Linked DNA regions of Caenorhabditis elegans. Changing the gene in region 3 together with the main gene of any one other region gives a genetic interaction. Each region holds a gene or a part of one and is shown on either strand. Other genes may lie near its edges.

Evidence for each region. Genes that interact genetically often act in the same process or in processes that back each other up.
Region 1: of cnnm-3 (region 3) and gtl-1, changing one suppresses a phenotype caused by changing the other (phenotypic suppression), as found in Caenorhabditis elegans (one study listed by BioGRID).
Region 2: of cnnm-3 (region 3) and cup-5, changing one suppresses a phenotype caused by changing the other (phenotypic suppression), as found in Caenorhabditis elegans (one study listed by BioGRID).

What each region holds. Positions count from the first base shown.
Region 1 is NC_003282.8:11,255,460-11,262,512, forward strand, and holds the start of gtl-1 (TRPM SLOG domain-containing protein), read right to left. Parts: upstream 4,077-7,053; 5' UTR 4,007-4,076; coding exon 3,968-4,006; intron 3,878-3,967; coding exon 3,763-3,877; intron 3,394-3,762; coding exon 3,302-3,393; intron 3,254-3,301; coding exon 3,200-3,253; intron 3,137-3,199; coding exon 2,915-3,136; intron 2,871-2,914; coding exon 2,786-2,870; intron 2,688-2,785; coding exon 2,549-2,687; intron 2,136-2,548; coding exon 2,008-2,135; intron 1,618-2,007; coding exon 1,419-1,617; intron 1,377-1,418; coding exon 1,233-1,376; intron 1,140-1,232; coding exon 1,050-1,139; intron 1,003-1,049; coding exon 879-1,002; intron 836-878; coding exon 353-835; intron 263-352; exon of another isoform or gene 245-262; coding exon of another isoform or gene 1-244. Other genes in the region: C05C12.1 (Protein kinase domain-containing protein), read left to right, coding at 1-244; C05C12.5 (Phosphoprotein), read right to left, coding at 4,999-5,065, 5,112-5,333, 5,498-5,658; F54D1.1 (KHDC4/BBP-like KH-domain type I domain-containing protein), read left to right, coding at 6,438-6,460, 6,512-6,692, 6,742-6,986.
Region 2 is NC_003281.10:7,581,677-7,591,758, reverse strand, and holds cup-5 (Polycystin cation channel PKD1/PKD2 domain-containing protein), read right to left. Parts: upstream 7,077-10,082; 5' UTR 7,071-7,076; coding exon 6,618-7,070; intron 6,569-6,617; coding exon 6,385-6,568; intron 6,341-6,384; coding exon 6,029-6,340; intron 5,663-6,028; coding exon 5,379-5,662; intron 5,300-5,378; coding exon of another isoform or gene 5,270-5,299; intron 5,098-5,269; coding exon 4,990-5,097; exon of another isoform or gene 4,970-4,989; coding exon of another isoform or gene 4,763-4,969; intron 4,710-4,762; coding exon of another isoform or gene 4,617-4,709; intron 4,573-4,616; coding exon of another isoform or gene 4,438-4,572; intron 4,391-4,437; coding exon of another isoform or gene 4,229-4,390; intron 4,183-4,228; coding exon of another isoform or gene 3,973-4,182; intron 3,929-3,972; coding exon of another isoform or gene 3,793-3,928; intron 3,636-3,792; coding exon of another isoform or gene 3,547-3,635; exon of another isoform or gene 3,445-3,546; intron 2,331-3,444; coding exon 2,103-2,330; intron 2,057-2,102; coding exon 1,955-2,056; intron 1,223-1,954; coding exon 1,084-1,222; coding exon of another isoform or gene 977-1,083; exon of another isoform or gene 769-976; coding exon 678-768; intron 537-677; coding exon 431-536; 3' UTR 178-430; and 1 more. Other genes in the region: R13A5.11 (Serine/threonine-protein phosphatase), read left to right, coding at 1-160; R13A5.15 (Serpentine receptor class gamma), read left to right, coding at 3,547-3,635, 3,793-3,928, 3,973-4,182, 4,229-4,390, 4,438-4,572, 4,617-4,709, 4,763-4,969; gda-2 (CMP/dCMP-type deaminase domain-containing protein), read left to right, coding at 8,780-8,969, 9,376-9,647.
Region 3 is NC_003284.9:3,041,627-3,048,779, forward strand, and holds the start of cnnm-3 (Metal transporter cnnm-3), read right to left. Parts: upstream 4,222-7,153; 5' UTR 4,181-4,221; coding exon 4,106-4,180; intron 3,366-4,105; coding exon 3,172-3,365; intron 3,120-3,171; coding exon 2,934-3,119; intron 2,886-2,933; coding exon 2,741-2,885; intron 2,312-2,740; coding exon 1,989-2,311; intron 1,943-1,988; coding exon 1,855-1,942; intron 1,772-1,854; coding exon 1,498-1,771; exon of another isoform or gene 1,468-1,497; intron 852-1,467; coding exon 688-851; intron 544-687; coding exon 361-543; intron 1-360.

The DNA of each region.
Region 1 (7,053 bases), on a different chromosome or scaffold from region 3:
ACAGCATGCCGAAAAACAGCGTCCATTGTTCGCTTGGGAACAGCCTGACGTCGGCTCTTACTTCCGAAAGGATCCATTTACAACGGTTCAAAATGCAAATGTAACGGGGAAGACGACGAAAAAGAAGAAGCATGGGAAGGAAACAACTGATGAGACGACTGTGGAGACTTGCGAGGAAATCAACGGATCTGTCAAGAAGCCACAAAAAGGAACTGAACTCAAGAAAGCAGTGTTTCATAAATAAATTGATTTGATGTGAAATGTTTAAAGAGATTATACAAACTATCATGAACACAAGATTTTAGCTAATGTTATCATCGGAATGTTTATAATCATTATAAACTCGACAAACCTGCTTTCTATTGTTGAACAAAAAATATTGATTTTTGAATTCTTCCTTTGTGTAATTCGATTTGTATAGATTTCCCATCAAGTTCTCGACTAATCTTCCAACTTCGACAAGTTTTATGTGATGTTTTGAGTCAACTAACAGATTAGTTCTCAGAGTATTTTGAGGTCCTTTGTCAGTGTTATAGAGATGCTCCAGCCTTCCGTAAGTTAAAAACTTTTGCATAGAAACTCCGTTCTCAAGAAGTAAATGTACGAAATCGATACGATCATTGGAAAGTGCTTCAATCATTGCATTGTGCAAGTCTTGAGTAGTCCATTCAGTTCCATTTGCGAAGATTTCAGTTCTAGCAATGTCAGCTCTGTTCCAAGCAAGAGCCAGTTGAAGTTGTTCTGGTGGTGATAGGTTTTGACCTTTTAAAAGACATGACATGATTACGTGATCCAAATCTTCTCTCGATGATTCACCCAAACGAAAAATTGTCATCTGAAACAAACGTTGAAGAAGTTTCAACAAATCAGGAAATTACCAAAGACTTGTTTGTAGAGCATTCAACAATCTGCTTGATTAATTTCTGAGCTGTTTTCGGATCATATCCAAATATTCTTCGAACAATGTTTACCAACTGATTTCTGATATTGTCGGATAAAAATCTAAAAATATTAGAAACAATGAAGTACGACTTTTACCTAAAACTAACCCATTTTGTGACACAGCTTGATGAGCAAAAGCCAGAATATCTGCTGCTCGACCACTTCCATCACAAACAATTACGGGTATACGGGGAATACTGAAAAATGTTACTTCTATTACCGACGTGTTGATTGTTTTAAAACAATTTGAGGAATGCAATTTATAATTCACGACAATTTACAGAACATACGTTGTTACATAATCATGAACCATTTTGATAGTGAATGCTCCTCCCTCCAGTACAACACAAACTAATGGAATTGCACTTCTCTTTTTGTCGCCTTGAGCTAAATATGCTTCCAATCGTTTTCGCATTATGATTTCAGCACCATATCTGAATAATACTGTGATTTACTAATAAACTTGAATTATCTACCGGTTGACGGTTCCATTGTCGGAAAACAAAAAGTACGAATGATTATCATTGAGTTCTTTCAATCTTGTGTTATTGAACACATTTGTTGCATATGTTACTGTTGAATCTTTTCCAACAAATCGACTTCTCTGTTTCAACATTCCCCACGAAGCTATTCCAATAGCTACCACGTGATTCTTTGATGTATGGTTTCCATGGTCTAAATTTTAAAATTTATAATTTTAAGTCACAGGCTCTAAGGATGTTTTATGCTTGAAAATTTCACATATCATGCTATCAACAAATGCCTGGAAAATTCTATTGAATATAGAAAATGTATTCACCAAAAAGTGAGCCTCTCGGTATGAACATCGAGTGGGCGAGGAGGACGTCCAATTGAATAACCCAAAATAGCCCAAAAGACCAAAATTCCAAAGCTGAGATTTTTGCAAATTTATACAATTTTTTTAAAATGTGTGCACACTTTTTGAATTTTTCCAAACTTTTGAAGTATCTGGACCAGAAGCTAGAGATCTGTTCCGTACTCCCATTTTTCATTTTAAATCTACTTGCTCTTATTATTCCTATGAAGTTTTATAGTTATTCTAACCATGTAATGCTGAATCCAAATGCTTTACAACTCCTTCATCCAACCCAGAAGTAATAATCCATGCATCAGTTGACTTTGCAATCTTCATGATTCCTTTTCGGAACGTTCGTGCCAATTTCGGTTGCAGACTGCAAATATTATCTTATCATTATCATCTTCATTTATGCTTCCACTCTGTGATATCATTATTCTCGATCAAATTTTATCACATCAAACCCCAACCACCTCGGAGAATTGTGGCATTCTTCGTGACGTAAAAAACGGTAAAGGTATCAGTGAGGAATTTGGAAGAGAAGTAATTGATAGAAAAAAGGTGAGGGGTATGTCCTGGGAACGGAAAAGATTATAAGAGTCTTATGTACATTCAGTAGGTGTTAAGGGAGATTAATTTAGAACGAAAGATCAGGTTCAACTCTTATATACTGCTTTGAATGGTGTTTAAGAGAAAATTGAAAGTTTAATATTTCCAGTGAGTCTAATATTCCTGAAAATAATCAAACAAATTAAAATTTGTTTTCAAGGTTAACTTCAAACTACTCACTCAAACTTTGTTAGTCCGCCGTTTATGGTGATAATCAATTTTGGAGGTTTAAGTTTCCAAACTTTCATCATTAAATGAACAATATCTCTTGGATCCGAATCAAAACTTATTCGAGCATATTGTGCGTGGTGAGCAGTTCCTGAATTTTTAGATTAACTTTTCAATTTTTAAATATTTGAGATAATTTGGAAAAAAGTTTTTTCACAACATAAGAATAGGCAGAAAGATAAAGCATACCTTCGAATACAATATTTCCATATGCATCAGTTGGTACAATTTCTGTGTGTGATTGAATTGACCAACGACCAGGAGTTAAGTTTACCTGAACAAGCTTTCAGGAAAATAATTTTAATTCAAAATAATTACCTCATTATCATCTGCATCTGCATCCGTTGTATCTACTTCATGAATACCAGGAAGAGTTAAATGATTTAATGGATGATTTTTATTCTGACTTCTTTCCAATACTTCTTCTGTATGCTTTGATCTTTCCTTACCACATCCACATCGTTCCGAAAATCGTTGCGATGGGACAAAATATGAACATTGTCTCATTTTAAGACGACATTCTATCCAGTTTTTTCCCTTCTAAAAATAAAAATAGACAATATTTATATTTCTGTTCCACTGTATCAACTTTCTGCCACTTACCAAAGAACCAGCTCTAGTTGCGTGTCCAGAATGGCTTGTTGTCGAGTTTCCGCGCTGAACAGTACACTTTTAAAGATTTTGATCATTTGACAAAACTCAAACTTTTCTTCCAGATATGTCTGCCAAATGGAGCATATCCTTCCAATCAAACTTCTGAACATGTCTTGGAGCTGAGTTCAAGGGGGCTTTGTCAGCTGAAATTGAAAATTTATTCTGGAGGTGTTTTTTTTAAATTCCTTTTCAGAATAAAATTGCATGATTTTTATCACATTTCTGGGCAACTCGCTGCAACTTTCCAGCAACTTTAGCAACTTCAAAAATTCCAAGCGCAAAAGTTGGCTAAACTTGGTTTAAAATATGCTAAAGTCGGGAAAGAAGTTGCTAACTATATCTAAAAGTTGCAAGACAATAAATTTGGCGCTAAAGTTGCTAATGTTGTTGAATAAGTTGCGGCGGATTGCCGAGTTTCCACATTTGGATTAAAATTAAAAATTAATTAAAATTGTTAATGAATTCTTTTAAGGTAATTATGTTTCAAAAACTATAAACTTTAAAAAACCTACAACTAGTGCTTCTTTGCTTCTTTCTTCTCCTTTTTGTCTGTGTCTCTGTCTCTCTTTCACTCTCATTTTCTTCTACAGTAACACTGTTCGCTCGAAGACTTTCTGCAACTGCTTTCTGAAAACATTTGTGATGTTTTTTAATACTCAATGAGTAATATAATTATTTATGACCGATCAACATTTATATGGAATTTTAAAACCTCACATGAATTGCAGGAACTATACTTCCACGTTTTCTGTCCATTCAATTAAAACTTTTTGCTCTGAACTTTGGTATCGATGATCTAGATTTTCTGATTTTCCCAGAAGTTTTTCTGGAATAAAAATCTTTTCACAATATAATTTTTAAGAGAAAATAAATCAATGAAAAACGGTAACCAGGAAAGTAAAAGTGAGTTACCCCCGCTATTAAAGTCAAAAAAAAGTAAGCCATAGATGACAGTTGAAACATGAAAAATTGAGTGAAAAAGAGCGAAGTGATAAGAGAAAATGAGAATGAGGGAGAGTGCATACGTATTGGATTCTTTTTAATCAGAAGACGACTAAACAAATTTTTGTCGGTGATCATTTTTGATAATGAGTCGAAAAGAGGTATTCGATAGAAAGTGAGCTGCGGCCAGCAGAAATGAAAGAATACGAAAAAAAAAAAAGAAAGAGAAGAGTACACACTTTTCGATGTCTGATGATAAAACTATTGGCTCTGGAAACTACACATTTAAAGTGTTAAATTAGATTATATAAATCAATAATCTGAAATGGCATATGATCCATTGCATAGATAACATTTTCAATATTGACTTAATTTCAATTTTATGGATTTTAAGCGTTTTGTCGGTCAGGCGTTGTCTTTTTGTTTTATCATAAGGTTTAAATGATGTCTACACTTTTTAGCTTTATCAAAAAAGACAAATGATGTTTTATAAATACGAAACTTTGAAGAAGCTAATTAACTATTTATTATGTTAGCGACAACTGGCGATTATCCTTTCTGACTCTCTGCAATCTCTCAGCAGGCTTCAAATATTCCAAAATCTCCAAACGTCTTATTTTCTCGCGAATGACTTTGATTCTTCATTCGAAAAAGACAAGATCTACTTGTAAGATAGAAGTTTTTTGTTTTCTTTAAAACATTTTCAGTTGAATTTCGTCAATGTGACTTCTAAGATGATTTTCACTAATTAAAAAAAAACCACGGGAAAATGAATCTATTTATTCAGTTCATAGGATCTCTATTTGCTACAACTGAAGGATGGACATGGAAGATGAGGACGAAGAAGTTTGTTTTCCGAACAAGTCATCGATCCTGAAAAATAAAATTGATCTAACAGAATAATTTCAGAAAAACCTACAATTTCTGAACTTTTGTCACATCACTATCGTTCATAACTCTCTTTGACTTGAGCGAAGTCATGATCAGTGCTTTCTTCTTATCCAATGCCAAATACGACTTGCTCTTCACATCAATATGATTCACGGAAGAAGAAGACGCAGCGGATGATCCAGAGTATGCAGACAATTGAGGAGCAACAATACGAGGCTCCGGGGAGCATGAACGTTCCGATTGAGAAGATCTATATGAAAAGGTTTAGACACTAAGTTAGAATCAACATTTTCATAGCAAAACGTCCAATAGCTTACGCTTGACGTACAGCAGAGTGCAATAGAGCAAAAGTTATTATTCGTTCAATGCTCATTATTTTAAATATTACTGAGAAAAAAAGCAAATACAACTCACGGGGACGGAACGATAGTGCGGTCCGGCAAACTATCAGACGGCTTTGCTCCCACTGTATCTTCATGAAGATTACGAAGATGGGATTCTGCTTGAATAAGTGTTTCGTCGACTTTTTGAACAATTGCATTGAATGCATCTGTGGCGCCAAAGTATTTTGCCATCCTTTGCTGGTATTGATCCGTTTATGAACTTTGATGAGAGCAAAGCTGGGAATGAGGAAAGTCAAACTGTTTTTTGAACTCACGTAAATTCACCCCCCCCCCCTGGTCTATTGTTTTCATTTTTCTAATCAGCAGTTCACGATTTCAAAAATAATAGCAACATTAATTTTTTTTTGGTTTATCAAAATGATTATGTTTATCTTCTTGCTTGTTCCAAAATGCTTGTTCTCGCCATGCAAATTATTTTCTGCTACAACTCTACAACTCTGCTACAACAACTTTAATGTTTTAGGTCGAAAAACCAGGCGGGCGGATAAATTTTTGTCTACGTGGAAGGTTTAGACAACAAGCATGAAATGAATCTGCTCGCATGTGCAGTATCGCTTCAAATTTTTTTATTAATAGCAAAACTTTGAATAATTAGAACTCACTTTGCAGGTATCACAAGAAGCAGGCTTGCTTCTAATTTTTAATATCCAAGAGAGCGTAATAAATTAAAACATTTTTCGGTTCCTATAACATTCTTGAAACCAAGATTTTAGGAATTTCTCTATTCGCTTTTTGAATTATTTTCAGTTTATCTTCTTTAATCTCTCTTTTGTGATAACTAATCTTAAATCTTCTCATACTTTGGAAAATATATAAAAGTGTTTCATATTTGGACGTTTCACGTGATCTTCTTTATTCTAATCTCCCCTTCTCATTCTAGTCCAAGTCAATATTTTCATTATTTCCTCATTCTTCGTTATTATTCACTTTTGAAAAAGTTCTATCCTACGATGCTCTCGACTTCCGCAAGCCTGTAAGTTAATAAGAAAGTTTAAGTTTCAGAGTCGAACTTATAATATTTCAGTTATCTGAACGAGCTGATCAATGAGATGAGACAATTATCGGAGACACCAATTGATTGTAAAAATGCAAGAATGTTGTTGTCAAAAGAGATTTCGAAAGTTTTCGATGAATTGTATCGTCACGGTCAAGGGTTTATAGATAATGGATATGGTTCAGATTATAATAAGAATGATTTTTACTCGGTATACTAATACTCCTTATAGAATTCGGTTGGAACATATGTATTTTCAGCCGCATTCCGCAAATTCTGGCTACTCTGCATCTCCATTCCCATCTCGTCCATCTCTTCCAAACCATGCGTTGTCCACATCGTTTTATCATAATTCATTCATGACACCAATTAGAAATGGAAGAATGCGATCTCCGGATCAAGATCTTGGAGATTGGTCTCGTGAGAAAATTAATGATACTCAGCATGTGCTTCAGACAAAAGTTTATATTCCGGAGCCACCGGTTTCCATTGACGGGAAGAAAGTGTTAGTTCTTTAACAAGTTTTCTGTTGGTTGTGGTTGCTTAGGAAGAAACGCATTATCTTGACCGGA
Region 2 (10,082 bases), on a different chromosome or scaffold from region 3:
AATGTACTGCAACTTCTACAAGAACGCTGGATGTGTGTTGAAAGTTGACGAGACGTTGGGCATTCAGATGATCGCATTTGTTCCAGCATCGGAGAATATCGAGAAGATCATTGAAGAGAAGAATCGTGTCTGGGATATTTCTATTGATTGTATTGATTAATACTTGGAATAAAGTTATTGAATTATTTGAATAAATTACAATTTATTAAGTTCTCAAGAAATCACAAATTATAAATCACGAACAAAACGGAAGAAGAATATCACAAAAGTACATAGCACCACATATACACATGATAAGTAGGTTGTTCAGAGGGGAATAAATATGAAAGAGGAAGGAGAAAGAAACGGATGGGATGGAAGATGAATGAAGATGACCAAAAATACAGACAAAGTTGTTTTTGATAACAAAAGAAAATTAAATTGAGAAACTCTATACATTCGATGGCCTAGAATTGTGAGGATCGTTTCCATTGGCATTTTGGTCGGCTAATACATCTTCATTTGAGTCGTTCAGCGGGTTGGAGAATGATTGAAAACTGAAAAACCAGAGGGATTATTTATCAATTTTCAAATTATCTCGTTCAGTTAATAGAGTATCGAAAATTTTTAGTAGATTTTAGTCGAAAACTTGCAAAACGAAACAAGCCCTCCTAATACACTTTTAAAATTAAAATTACCGAGTTCCATCTCTTAAGCTGCTCAGCCAATCGCGAGCATTGTCAATGGCATGAAGAGCACGAAGAGCTCTACTCGAGTCGTTGCCAGCCGCTGAAATTAGAGAAACTGAATGTTTTCGAACGAACTGATGAACAACTGCAATATCTAGTTAGTTTTTTGTACGTGCTACTATGCTAACTGTAATCTAGAGACTGTTATTCTATATTTTAATTGTTTTAATGCTTTTGTGATTGTTTTAGTACTGTCAAACCACTACACGACGCTGTTAGTTGCTGCTGTCACAACACCATCACCAAAACTAGCAACCAAGTTTGTTTGGCGTGCATAAATGTAAGAAAAATGAAAAAGTGTGTAGAAAGCCTGAACAGAGAAAGATTCGTGTCACTTCAACAGGCACGCACCGACCCAGATTGAGCAGATTAGACGGTGCGTAGGCGGATCGAGTCGTCGGTGAGCCGAGTTCCGACGGCGGTGGATTCGATTCCACGAAATCGCGAAGACATCCACGTTTTTCGATGGCTCGAAGACCGTCTGAGTAGCGATCCTGGAATGAATGAGATATAATTATTAACTTTTACCGTTTTGTTATTTCTTAAATTTAAAAATTCATTAACATGGTTAATATTATGGAGGCGCGTAAAAAATTCCCCGCCCTGACCAGACCGTAAATTCAGTAGAAATTTGAAAAAAATTTCGTTATTTTTTTTATTTTTTTCAGTTTTTCAAGTCGAAATTATGTTTTTTTTTTAAATAAATGCATGTGAAGTTGAAAAGTGATTGATGCGCACTTGCACCTAAATTTCAAAAGTCAAATTTTCTGCAAACCTATAATACGTATGTCAAAAAGGGTGGGTTCTCATTTCTTTGAGCCAATTTCGAGTTTCACTAGTTACAGAATGATGAATTCTCAAAAAAAAAAAATAATTTGAGACTGGTGGTGTCTATGCTTTCTCTTTCAGACCTCGGCAAGACAAAAACTAAATCATTGGTTACACCGAAATCTGACATTTGACTAGTCTCCTTGTCTTCTGACATAGAATTTCATTTTTAGCTGCGAGTAAGCACTTGATCATCTTTCATTTTTCGCCGCAATAATTAAAAATAGATGGATGGGCAAGGAAAATGAAGAGCTATTGCTTTCTTGTTGTTTTCATTTTTCCAATTTTCATCAACACTCAAACAGCATCCCATTGGCGTGGTCTATTGCTCTTTCTTCAGTTGTTTTTTCGAGCTTTTTGTTCTCATTTTCATGTTCATTTGCTCTGTTCATTATTACCTTGACGACTTCATATGCATCCATGATAATTGCAATGAACAGTGATAATACTACATAGATAAAGAGTGACACGAATAGGTAGATGTACACTGTCCCAAATACCTGAAATATTTAAGATAATCTAGAAAAAAAAAAGAAAAATCTTTACCTTGATAACTGTATTGGAATCATTAATAGTGTAAAACGTGGCGAACATATCGTCACCGTTGAGAAGCGAAAATAGAGCTTCCGATGATTCTGCCAGTGTACGGAACTTCATACTGTACGGGCCAATAATAACCCATCCGGCAATCAAGAAACCAGCGTAAAGTACAATGGCACACGTCATGAAGCGCATGATATTGGGTGCCGATCGTTTGAGCGTGAGCATGAGGATCTGGAAAATGGCAAAAATAAACATTTTTCCTTCACTTTTATCGTTTGAAACCAGCAGAAGCTTTTTTAAAAGTTTTTTTAGTATTTTAATCATTCCATTATATTTAGCTTTTCTCTTTGATTGCGGTTATTTTTACTTATAGAGTGATTTTGTTAAATAATTGGCTCAATCTAGAACTGGCTTGTTCTAGATTGTGCCAATTATTTAACATAGGATCTTGCTTTTTAAATTTTATCTGAAAAATTAAAGAACGTAAATTTCAAGAATTTTCCCGAATTTTTATAAAATTAAAATGGTTTTTTTTCTATTTTATATTTTCCTTTTTTCGGAAATTAGCTAGAACTACTCACTACAACATTTAAAAATAATTTTTAATTTTTTTGGAATTTTCAAATTTATATCTTGCGGATAATCGAAGAGCAACTATCAAATTTTTTTTTTGGCAATTATTCTCATTTTTTGAAATTATTTTAATCATGTTTTTCTCACCAACAGCAAAAATTTGAATAAAAATTCGGATTCATTTTTGTAAACTTTCAGAAAAAGATTTTCTCTTAAAAGAAAGAGTTAAGAATATTTAAAAATTCGGTATTGTTGACATCATTTTCTCGTTTCCAATTTTCAAGATACCAGGAAGAAACAAAAGAGGTATGAAAATTGATTTATGTTTTGACATAAGACCCTCTTTATTTTAGTTGTGCCAAGGTTTTAGATACGGCTTTTTGACTTCTCTTTTAAACTTTTCCTTCTCTCAAACGTGATACTTTTGGGGGCACCAGTGAAACAATATCAAATTAAAGAAATATTTAATCTCTGGAGAATTTTCATTTACATTTGCACTTTTCACATCAAATACACTTTGACATCATTCTAGACAATGCGTGATTAATTAACTCAGTTTCTATGAACAACAAAATCTTAATCACGCGTTGTTAGACGTCGTCTAATCAAGTCGAAGTTTTCCAGTTCGAAGCTTTCAATATATATATATACATACGCCAATCCTTAATTTTGTAATGTTTGTAGTATGCTTTAGCTTGTTAATGTAAATGGATCCTTCCATCTACTCCCCTTAATTTCCCCAATTTTCACAAGTTTAAAACTTGTTGTTTGCAGGGCAACATTCTATTGGTCGGTGGTCTTTTCAATTAAATTTGAAGACCATTGAGCTCTTTTCCTTTTTCTTTGTCTTCTTCATTTCGAACAATTTTTTCGAATGAGTTCCATTTTCTCGCATGGAAACGAAACAGTAGTTTCAGTATCTGATGGTGAAATTAGAAATGTGGCATATGCGTTTGATTATAGGTAAGTTTATTTGAACATATTTTAAACGTAAATTAAGCAAAAAATTTCACGAAAATAAGGAGCTTAATCGAATTCTGGACATTCATCCGCTTTTTTTTTATTATATACCAGCAAAAATTTCAACATTTCGCGCCTAAAATGTAATCGAGATTTCCAGACAACCTCTACTTCTAATTCATCTACTCTACACTGTTCCATCATTTATAGCATATCATAAATGCCGCACGTTTTTGACGAAGGAAAGCGTCACTAGCAGCTATTTCAATGTGATTTTCACAAATGATTTCTATATTGTAAGTACATAGACCTTTCGGATAAAAAGTGTAAACTTTTTCAGAATGTTGCACTTTTTATAATCGACTTTCTATTTACACGTCTTCCAATTTCTGGTCTTTTTGAAAATCTTCCTTCATACATCCCAGAAGGAATACCTATGACTATAATCTACTTTCTCTCGTATTACTTGATCTATGTGAACTTTTATTCAATAACATTAATATGCATCAATCGAATGACTTCTGTACTTTTCCCGTATTACTGTAATTCGGTGAGCCTTCCCATCCGAAAAATATGAATCTCCTAAAAAATTAAAGTTTTGGCAAAAGAACGTCCGCAGTGCAATCGCACTTGTCTACATTCTTCCATTAATTACTACATGGCACTTAGTCACCTATGACGCTTATTTCTTACCACTATACGAAAATCGATCCAATTATCAAATGGTATACAGAGTGAAACTGTTGATAGGATTTTTGGTATGGTTTCCACCAAACACAAAATATGAAAATCAATAAAATTACAGCCTAGAAACAGTACGGCGCTGTGTTTTGTGTCGATTCTTCTCGCCGTAATATGTGTTGCAGCGAATTTCACAACAATTGTTAAGTACAAAACGACAATTCAAACAGTAAAAACGGCTAGTGGTACTCAGAACGAAGTTAGTTTGAATAATATTATATTAGAAGCATAATCAATTTTAAGTTTCATCGAAAAAGAACACGACGAGTAGAAATTGCAATGTTTTCTATAGCGTTAGTGGTATGTTTTTCACTGGTACTGCAGGCTTTATTACAGGTAAGGAAATAATGAATTATTGGAGTATTTACTTTTTTAAAAATTTTTTATAGGCTCTGATAATGATCTACACTGGTACTTCGTCATTCATTCGTGAAACATGTCAAGATCTACGTGCATTCGCACTGGATATTTCCATATGTTGCCCACCTTGGATAATGTATTACACTACAGTACACTCGCATAAGACTACAATAACAAGTAATTCCATATCCGGAGTTGGTATTCCAACACGATCAAATGTTGTTGTAATGAAATAAAGCAATTTGAAACAACTCACATTATATTGACTGAAAAATCCAAAATATCGAAGAACTCCGACATATACCAGCAAAGCTCCCATTCCGAGGAAAATCGAAGTTAGCGTGAAGAGGGAATTGTCGAAATCCTGAAAAGAAAGCAATAATCTTAGTTTTATGCAAGAATTAATGGAAAATAATTTTCTAATCAATACAGAGGGGCAATTTGGTTTCGATAAATCCCGGGATGAAAAGTTGATGGAAACAATGGGACGGACAGATACAGAAAGGAAGTTATTGGAAATATAAATTTTTACTCACATTTCTTGTAGTAAAAGTATTTTTGTTGAACTAAATTTAATATATTTTATGTTTGAGTATTGGAGGGAATTTTTCATTTGAATTAAACTTAAATTTTTATAAAAATTACCTGAAACTCGATGGATATTTTTGCAACAGTTCCAATGATAATAAGCGCATCGTTGACCACAATCATCACATACCACAAATTCAGAAAATCGAGTTGATCGGTAACGGTGATCTTATTTTTGAGTACATTCTCAAAATAGTCGCTTGTTTTGATTTGAAGTAGATGGGCTTTGATGAGGGCTCGGCAGCAGAGAATCAGTGATAGAATGCAAAGAATGAGAACGAAAATATCGGTTCCGCCGATTAAAAGTGTGTCAAATGACCATCCAACACCTGAAACTTGACCTAACTCGAGATTGATTGAATTTTTATATTTTGATATTTTAATATTACAAAATTCATTTTTATTTAAACACAGAAGTACACCTAGAAGTTAAATATTTCAAGTTAATTGGGAAATTTTTGAATACCTAAAATCTAAATGTTACTCTCAAGAAGAACTTTTTTAGGCAAATAAAGTTATGTAGATTTTAACACGAAGTTTCAGAAAGACTTTTATAAAAGATTTGAAGTTATATTTAATAGCATCCCATTTGATGATTCTTCACCATTAATTATTGGAATTCTATGTTAATTGGGTAATTTTCGATTACATAATCTATAATTTTTACTAGCTTTACTTTGAAAATTTGAAAAAAGTGAAGTGTTCACCTTTGATGATCCTTCCATTACAAACATTCACATAAGAAACCACAGTTGATAGAGTGACATGAACCTGTCCTGTATGCCTTGAATTATCAAATTTGATAGAAACTGATATCTTATAGCATTCTGGTTTCTGATCTCCGGCTGTTGGTGAATAATGAATTGTTCGTAGTCGAAATTTGAATTGGACCGTCGATATCTTGAGCGCGTCTTCTGGGAGAAATGTGATTCCACGAGTGGCGAGAATATCTCGAACAGCATCATCGGATTGTCCGATTTGGAAGACTTCCGTTTCTGTTAGATTCAGACGTTTCGTGTCTAGAAATAAACTATTTTTATTTCATAATAGTATGTTTATATACCTTTCACTTCACGAATGTCGAAATTATAAGTGTTATTGTTCACTGTTACGTTGGAAATTCGATCGATAAGAACTTCAATAGGTGGAATAGATTCAAAACTAATTTGAGCGCCAAGATTTCCAGATGGATGACTTACAACGTCATAGGAAAATGAAGCAAATGAATCATTGCGAATTGAATAATACTGAAACAATATTGATCATTTTACAAGATAGTTCTCCAAAGCGACTTACAGAATTAATCAAAAAGCTCAAATGCTCGGATAATCCTTGATCATCATAAACCGAATATCTTCCTTCAGCTGGTGGATATTGTAATGCATCTCTGTCGTCATTCCATTCTTTTAAAAATCGATGTCTCATAACTGTTGTGGTGTCTTCGAGAAAATCAACATGAGACATGCGCATTTCCGCGAATAAAATTAATTGCATGGTAACGAAAACTATTTTGAGCACTTGTAGAACCAACTTATAGGGCAGTTGATGTCTGACTTTCCATTTCTCCATTGGATTCATAAAAAAGAATTGGAGATGACGGCGAAGACGTTCGCCGGTTTCTCTTTCGTGGTGCGGAAGATCTTCCATTATTTCTTGAAAATTTATTGTTGGCCTTCGAGAAGCATTTGAAGAAGCATTCGAAGCATTATCGTTGAAGTCTGAACGATCAGTTGTGCTCCGGCGAGACATCTGAAATCATGAAATATTAAATAACGTTGTATTAATGAAAAATTGATTTCGATGCGAGTGGCGGTTAATATAAGCGTACAAAATATGAATTCTAATTTTTAAAAAATATATATTTTTATGATTAACATGCTATTTATAAAAAACAAAAACAAATAATTGTTTGAACAATTAAAAAATAATTTTCCGAGACCAACGCCCGCGTAAATCCTACTAGTGAGGTACACCGCGCGGTGTCTTTGCGTACCATGCACAATATCTGACGCCGGTCAATCTTATGGTATTTATTTTCTCTTTAAAAAACGAAGAACTAAAAAGAAATACTCACCTAAAGTCCAAAATTATCAGAAATTATCGTTATCAGTCAATCAAAAATTGGTTAAGACCATGCAAACATGCAATTTTGCAGTTTTCAACCCTTAAAACAATACATTTATTATCTCACCGATTCGAGGGGAATTTGCTCTAACCGCATCGATCTCGAAGCTTGGCTTCTGAATATTCTACTCATCTTTCAAGAAAGCTTAGAGGTGTTATTTAGAGCCGATGTAAATGGCGAACATGGGATAGATAAAAGAGCATTTGAGAGAGAGAAGCGCAGGGAAGCTAGAGACACGTCAATTTGTTTTTTTCTGTGTTGGGTTTTTTTTTCCTTCCGTAGATAAATAGCGGTTGGAATCTATACAAAATTGAGCATGACTTTTGAAAGGTGCACACAAAGAAAATAAAAAGCGTAGTACTTTCAGTAAAGAGAAATTGGAAAATTTTTTGAGGGCACATGTACATAGTATTTTGCAATGACGTTAATATGGATAAACTCGGAGAGAATTATAAATTCAGAAATTTGCATAGAATGACGCACATTTTAAAAGTGAAATTGCAGGTTATAAAGTTGTAGTTAAAAAAGTTTGAGTTATTACCCAGTTGCGAAAGATTTCAATTTATTACAAAAATTTCGGGCTGGTTCACAGCGCGAACATTTTCAAATCGTAGCCGCCGCAAAAAAGGTATGCACCTTTAACAACCACAGTAAACCATTGAAATTTTTCTTTGAATTTTTAGTCATATTCATATTCTGTCGTATAATTTTATCTGTTTCTTTTTAGATACAAATAGTGAGAAAAGGAAGAGCACAACTAACAAACGGGCAATGGATTACTGTCGTTTTTTGAAGGCGCAGTGAGACAGTAGGTACCGTTTTTGAAAGTTTACAGAAGGCAACGTTTGACAACTACTTCAATTTTTGTTCTTTTTTTTTGGTCGTACCCCAAATATCGAAAAAAGTCTCTGCAATTTTTAAATTTCCTGTGATTTCAATAAAATATTAAATTCTGAATTTCTATTTATTGAACTTCGATATCAAAATTCCTCTTGCCACACACAAATTTTTAAAATCTAATACGTTTCCATGTCTGCAACTATCGAAAACACCTCCACAATATTCAGTTCATCATCATTTTTTGTTTGGTTGACTGGCTTCCGATCGCTCTTTTCCTTTTTTGTTCTTTTCCCACGCCTTCTTTTTCTTCATCTCTGGCGTACTCTCTCGATGTCAAATTTTTGTTAAAGTGAAAGTTTTTGGCAACTATAGTTTTTACAACATATTCATTCATTTGTAGTTTTGATATTTTTTTATTTATTTTTGTTTCTAATAAATTTTTCATCCGTGAAAAAACTCGGTTAATCGAAACATTTCTTGAAAATTCAGAAAAATGGAATTCATGAAACTCGCAATCGAAGAAGCCAAGAAAGGAATGGAGAAGGGAGACGGTGGACCATTTGGAGCTGTAATTGTCAAGGATGGGAAGGTAATCGGTAGTGGGCATAACATGGTTTTAGTCACCAAGGATCCAACAGCACACGCCGAAGTTACAGCCATCAGAAATACTTGTAAGAATGTCGGTAAGTATTCCTTTCGTTTTTAACTTTAGTAAAGGAAACAAAATTAGTTTCTTGAATCCAAAATTTCGAAAATAATTTATAATTTTTTACAATTGTTTTTTATTTAGTAAATTCCTTACAAGATATCACTGTTTGGACATCACTTACTGCTTTGATCTTCAGTGTTTGGTTTTTGACTTTTTTGATTGCCTATAATTTGGTTCACTGTACTTTTTAATTTAATTTAGGTAAGAAGTTACTTCCTGGATTCCATGCAAGCCTTTACTGAAATACTAATTATTAGGGGTTTTGTGAGAATTTGAGATCTGCTAAAAGATCAGAAGCGTCTTAATTTATTTTCCCTATTTATCCTATCTACTGTTATATAATTATATTCAAATTGGCCATATATCTATTATTTATCCAGACAACTTTGATCTATCCGGTTGTCAACTCTACACTTCCTGCTATCCATGTCCAATGTGTATGGGAGCTGCTCTCTGGTCTCGTGTCGATGCAATTTACTACGGTGCCACGTCACAAGACGCCGCGAATATCGGATTTGGAGATCATGAGTTCCATGAGTTCCTTCAAAACCCAAAATCGGATGATAAACGAAAGTTGGAACAATTCAAGGTGGACAACTACTTAGAGCCATTCCAACTTTGGTCAAAGAAGGATAACAAAGAACTTTATTAAATATAAACAAATTCTCTGGTTTTTGTCATTTGTTGGTTGCAAAAAAGTAATGCATTATAAATAAACGTATAGGAGTGTGAGCATATGGGAGCAGCAAATATGAATAATTGATTACAGGAAAAAAGACGAAGGTTGGGAGAATGTAGATGACGTTTGTATTTGAAGGTTTTAATTGACTTGTAATTTGCTTATCAAAAACTAAAATTTATACAAAAATGTAAATATCTAGTTACTTTTACTAGGCCTTTCAAATAAAAACAGAATCTTGGAAAAAGTTTGCAATGTCCCATAACATCTTGCATATAAGACTAATAGAGTAAATACGGTATTTCAAATTTGGAAAGCATGAGTTCGAATAGATAATTTTAAATCGTAAGAAAATAATGTTTTCAGAAAATTTTGTAGAGCACTTTTCTTCCATTATTGTTGCACCGC
Region 3 (7,153 bases):
AAGTGGCAAAAACTGAGATTTTGACAATTTCAAAACATGATATGAAACATGTAATTTTTATTTTTTGTTACTATGATATTTGATAATTGTGGTTCTGAAGCAATGTCTCTGTTCTAAAGCAATGTCCCAACTAACGGTACTCTAATTTTAAAGATACTAGGGGTTGAACCTGTTACTCTACATGTTTGGTCTACATTTTTGGAAAATTCGACAGCTTACCAAAACTTTTTACTGAAAAAATGTTTAAATATGATGTTCTACTGTGTTGGACTATAATAAATGTATGATATTATGACTAATCTCCACAGACTATCTCCGCCTTTAAGCAACTAGTATGTACCTGTTCAAAAGTCAACTAACCCTCTTCCTCTGCCGTTTTTTCCTGTGCACATTATCGCACACTGCATCAGTTTCATCAATGATTTCGCACTGAATGATTTCCTCAATGATGTCCTCGAGGGTAATCAGTCCACAGAGCTCGTAAATCGGGTCTTTATCTTCTTGCTCGACGAGTCGCTCGACCAGCGCCATGTGATATTCGCCCTGAACTCTAGTAGATTAAATGTTTTTTTTCTAGACACATGAAGTTGAAAATATCTTTTGAAAAGCTTTTTTTCAAGCTTTTAAAAACCGGGTAAGATTGATCCACTTAATTGAATTGAGTCTTTGGAAGCGAGGCGTTCTTACCCGTTTAAATTCTTCCAACATATTTCGGAGTGGCATGTCTACCAACACACGACGAACTTCATGGTTGTAAATTGAGGCGATTTTCATGACATTGTGATTATCGTCAGGATCGAGCAATGCGAGATCTTTTACAAACAGAAGTGCGACAATGTTCTTACGGTCATCTGAAATATTGATTTTATTTATTTATTTTCTCTGATTTTGGTAAGCTATCAAATTGAATTTTCAGGCAAAATAGTTATTTCAGCTCACTTTTTCAAATAAAACCTATGCCAGGCGAAAGAAAACCTTTAAATTAGTTCTCTAAATACAAAAAAAATTTGGAAAACACTTTGAACTATAATAGAAAAATCTTGATCTTAAATTTTTCAGTTCTTCTGTTCACAACTAGAGAGGTTTGAAAAATTGCGGATGTTTGCAGGTTTTATATCTGGATCTTATTAAGGGTGCCCAGAGTTATACAAAGGCTTTGGGATACTTTTGGTAAATGTTGTATTTTTGTAAAATAAATCTAAAGCCTCTCACATAACTCCATCAATAAATTTTTTAGATTTTTCCTGGCCGAATAATATTTTTTGAACGTTGATTAGCGGCAATAAGGGAATTTATTTAAAATCACTCCTATGATTACCAAATATTATAAGTTTTACTAATTCAGTTGTCGTGACTTATTTCAAAGATTAAACATTTTTTAGCTTTACCCCCAGCAAACATTTTCAATTTAACAATTTTTTTTGTTGCGAATTTATAAATTATCCATGCAGTTTCTTTATAGCTCACCATTCAACGATTCACCCCCAAATGTCTTACTTTCGTAAATCGGAATACGCGTATAACCCATATCTAAAATCTGTGTCACCATTCCAGCGCCAAGTGTCAACGTATGGGGCAACATAAAAATGTCCTCGTAACGGGTCATCGCGTGGGCGACGGTTTTGTCGTAAAGCTCGAGTGCACCCAATACCATTTTAAATTCGTCAGATTGCCCTCCAATGATGCTCTTCTCGGATAACTTGAGCATTTCGACAAGCTTGTTCCGCTCCAACGAGCGTGTTAGCTCTTCTTTCAAGAAGATATCGAGGACCTGCAAAAACATGCAAACATTTGAAATTATTATTTTTTGAATAAAGGTCAAATTCCTGGCTGATAATAGAAAATTTATGAAACCTTAGATATTGGCCACGTCAGAGGATACATCAGGAAAAGGAGAACTTGTGTGATTGGAATTGTTCTTGCACCAATCGGGAGTCCTAGCCTGAGATTCAAAATTATAAGTACACACAGGTTACGTAAACCCTTACTTCACACATAATGCTTGTGGAATGATTTCTCCAAACACGACAATACAAGATGTCGCCGCAACAAGTACAGCAAACCCGCTGCCCACTAATTGGTCCATCAAAAGCGAAACGCCGACGTTTACAACTACGTTACCAATCAATAATGTGCACAACAGTTGATTTCCTTTTTTGCGAATTGGTAGAATTCTTCCAGCGTCCCTTTTTTCTTGTTCAGTACCACTTGCGATGTAAAGCTGAAGCTCATACGGAGACAGAGTCATCAATCCAAGATTGAGACCGGAGAACAAACCAGAGAAGCACAGAAGGATTAATAAACAGATCCACTGAAAAAAGCAATGAAATGAACTATAGTTAATTAAATGAGTTTTTAAAGTTTTTACACAATTGTTTTATGCTTTGATAATTTTGCTAATTTTACCACTAAACATGCTATCGAAAAATGTTCATCAAAAGAATGTTTTCCATGTCTACTTGACTCTAGATACTTAAATGATCCACAAAAGTCATAGAAAAATATATAGCAGCCGACACCTCGTGAGTTCATTCTTAATGATGATTACGACTGTAACTCAAAAACCATATTTTAAATGGAAGGTTTATCTAAAGGAAATAAAATTCATCGTATATGATTTTTCATTGTTTTTTTTAACATTTCAACTTTTTCAGCAACAGCTTAAATGTTGCAAAATTAAACATGGTTTTCTAATTATTAATGTTAATTCTATCGCTTATATCTGGAATCAGAAACTCACCGAAAGCCATTTTGGCATATACTCATCAACGGGCGGAATTTCAGTGGTGACCATTGTGAACGGATCTTCTACTATAACAAACTGAGGGTTGGCATAAAACTTTTCTGACACGCAGAGTTTGAAACTGTCCTTTGATTCAGTGGTTCTGAATTAAAACCATTTCATATTTACAAACTTTTTTTCATCAACTCACTTTGGAAAGCTCATCTCAACAACGACACGAATGGGTGTCATAGAAGAAAAATCGGCTTCAAAGAAATGTGCCAAATCTTTACAAGACCCGTCTGCTGTGAAAGTGAGAGCTCCGATGTCTTGAAAATTTTGGCCGAACAGAACAACTCGAACATTCTTATTTGGGACAACGACGACATTGTGTTTTCTGAAAGTAGGATTTTAAAAATTAGTATATATTCTAATCAGCCCCGTATTACTTATTGTGTCCGAGAACAATGTTTTCAGTAGAAGAGGCGTGAGCTTCGAGGCGAAGTCCCGAAACTCGAACTTTTGATAAATGAAGTGATTCCGGTTTTGAGGCTGAACTTGGCAGAATTGAAGGTTCCAATATCACAGAAGAGTTGACATTTAATAATCCTTTTGATGAGGTTGAATTGTCAGTGGAGCGGACCTGAAAATTAAATAAAAAATGAAAGTTCCTTTTTTGTCTGGCTTTATTCAAAGTTTTGAAGAAAGATACTTTTGCACTGAAATTGAAATTGAAAAATTGTTTAAAAGAAAGTTTTTGAAACTACAAAGACTAAATAGCGTAGTAAAACTTTTCAAAACAAATTTGGAAATGTTTTATTACCTGCCAAAAAATGACTATCACTCAGTTTTGTCACTCATAATTTGGGATATCAACCAAAAAAATATTTATATGATTTTCAAACTATTATTTTGTTTCAAATACTCGTGTCAAAAAATCCTGGAACATGCGAAATTGCTCTTGGCAAAAATTGGCAATTTGCCAAAACTTTGACTTGAAATTTTAACAATCTGAAGTGTTTTGTTTTATTATGATATTCGATCATTATGATTGTGTTTAAGCAAAACTTTCACTGGCGCTACTCTACCTTTAATGACCAATAATTGTATATTTATTCATATACTAATTGTTTCAAAATTTTAATTTTCTTTATAAATCTATAGCCCCTGTTAACTTTTGGAACGACTATTTCTTCCTATACAACAATTTGTTGTATACATTTTTGATCAGAAACCAAGGACACGCGACGCTTATCTATTGAAAATGCTTCCAATTAGAGGCCAAATGCAAGTTACCCTCTGGAAACGCATTTCAAAAGATTGTCAGTGTACTGACATCACACATTGTGATTTCGTGGCACACATTTTTTTCGCTGCTCTTACCGGAGAAGAAGACAGTGGCGATGTGAAAGTGAGCAAAAATATCAGGAGGCCGAGAGCCCATGGTGTCTTTGACATTGAACGGTACAGGTTGATAGGAATTCGAGTGTGAAGGCTCTGGAAAATAATGACTCATTGGGAACAATAGAAATTTTAATCAGAAACAAGAAAAACAAAAAAACAGAAAGAGATGGTGAGTTAGAAAAATTGTCGGAAAAATGTGTTATTGTTCGAAATTTTAAAAAAATTCTCTAAGTTATATTGTTTGCATACCTAAATAGAAAAAAGAAAAAAGAGAAGACCCGTCATAAAGCTAATTATCAAATTCAGTCTGGTTTCCCTTTTTTTTATCAATTCATTTTTTTTTTCATTTCTCTGATAAGAGCCCCACAAATTTCTAAAGTTTGATGTACGTGGTGCGTGACTCTGCACTGAAAAAAATACAAATCGCGATGACACGGCTTCTCCCTTCACCAAGCTCCAAACTCGGCAATTTAAATTTCTCAGTTTTTCCTCGAGAGGAGATGAGGGTTCAAAAAACGATGCTATTCAATTCAATCAAGAGAAGTGGAAGTGGAATGCTGCAATAAAAAGAAATTACAATGAATGAAAAATGCAAGAAAGAAGCAACAAAGAAAAACGAAAGATTAGTGTGTGTGCTACGCATTTTTCTTTGGTTTCGTAGCAACTAATAAAGTTGCATCCATGGATATTTTTAGGTCTTTGTTAGGGGCCCACCACGTCATTTTTATTGAAAATTGATTCATCATAAGTTGCCATATAACTTTTATGTGATAAAAATTGACCGTGAATATGTATTTCTAGTCGAAAAAAGATAAATTGAAAAATGTGGAAAACAAATATATGTTTTGTATTCTAGAGAAAATTATTCAAATTTTCGGGCAGATAAGATGTAGTTTTGACTGCAAAATCAAAAAAAAAAAGATTCAACTCAATCTGACTTAAAAATACGTATTTCTCAAAAAATTGTATTCCTTTTATTTCTCACAAAAATTGCTCATAAACTTTGTATATCGGTTCAAAATTCCAAAAAAAAAGGGTTAACTTAGACAAAATCCTAAGTTTTTGGCTTGTCCGTATTGTATCTTGTAAGATAACTTCCCGCCAATTTTTCAGTGTGTGCTGTCCGGAGTAAATCAAACAAGAAACAGAAAACAATGGCAATGGCAACACCTTCAAAACCCTGAGAAAAGTGACGTGTATTTCTCACGGTTGCGGAAGATTTTCAAATCAATTTTAATAATGGTGATTGAGCAATCGTTTTTAAAAAATTAATTCATCATTCTATGTTTGAATGCATCATTGTACCACAACAACAATAACAACCTCGTGATATTGTTTAAAAAAAAGCAAAGCGTGAGTCACCTTAACGGATTGAGAAATTTAGAAATTTCACATAATTGTTTGAATTTTGAATGAATTTTTTTATTAAAGTTAACTTATTCCGGTAAAATCAAGTTCAAAAAGCGCACAACGATGACGATTGCTGGAACGAAAATTGAAATTGAAACTTTTCATTAGTTTCTCTTTCAAAACTCTCGAATTACAAAATATCATGGCGGCGAGTGTAGTAGAAGAAGAGCAACAAAATACAATGGTCTTGCGAACAAATCAAACTGAACGATCATTGACCGCCCTATAATCAATCAGTTTTACATGTATTGATAAAATTTTCCTCCACATATACACACACTGGCAGCCAACTCTCGTTCTGCAAACACTAAAGAGTTCAGAAAAAGTGGGTGAACCACGTATTTCGGTGAGACCGAAACTAATAATTGCGGTGTGTGTGAGCGAAGTAAATGCAAGAAAAAAAAAGAAAAAAAAAAGAAATTATTCACCAGTTGCACGCAAGTTCGAATAGGACTGCTCGAAAATATTCAAAATGCGCAGTGCAAAAAAGTTATGGAGTTTTTCTTCACAACATTTTGCATAAGAGGGCATTTTTTGTTCCTTACAATACTACGTCACAAATTATGTAGGCATGTTTGAAAAATTTCTGAATTCAGATTTTAATAATTTTAAAATCACATGTTTTTGATCACAAGTATTAATTTCTCAAAGTTCTCCGTCAATTTTTAGGATTCAAAAAAAAATCCGTCAACGAGCCTGAGAATTTAAAAAAAATTCACGTCTCACTTTAAAAAAATGTATGAAAATTTTTTTTGGTAGATCAAAACCCATAAATACCGTTCAATAAATTTTGAAATCAAAATATGTATTGACAACAGAAAAAGGGCAGGTTCAATGATAATAAAGAAATTGCAATCCTTAAAAGATAGACCAAAACGGAACAGGCAGACATCCATTAGATTTTTAGAATGCAAATGGACAAATAATGCATTAACTCATAATTGATGTGAAACATCACATCATATAGAAAAGAGAACAGAACACAACTATGAAATCTCAGTGAATTTGAAAATTGTGTACTTTCTGAAAAAAAAACTGAAGGACGATAACAGCTGACGATTGAGGTGCACTTCGGAGTGGGTGCAAATCGAAGAAAAATAGAAGAAAAAGTTTTTGATGGTTTTAAAAATGAAATGAGGATGTCATAAAAATGTAAAACAAACTGAAATAGGTGAGATGTAAAAGGATTACATTTTCAAAAGTTAAAGAAGAAAATTATGTTCAAAAAGGTAATTTTTATTTGAAAACGTAAGAAGTCGTTAGAAAAAATACGTCTAAACTTGGAATGATTTTTTGTGTGGATATCAAATAGAGAAATTAAAATTTGTTCATTTGTTGATTTATTTATGGATAATTACAAAAAAGAATGCACTTCATAACTTGTAATTATTAAATTCTCGTTTTCTTTTAACTATTGTAGGCCTAATAACGCTAATTAATTTTACGTTTTGACTAAACTATTACTTTAATTATAAATGAATGGAAATTTATTTTTGAGTTACGGCAACTACTTAAGTAATAGAAACAAAAATTGGAACTTTCTTTGCTAAGAAATGAATCAAGAAAACAAATTGCGGACACATTTTAAACACACATTTTTGTTTCAACACGCTTTGA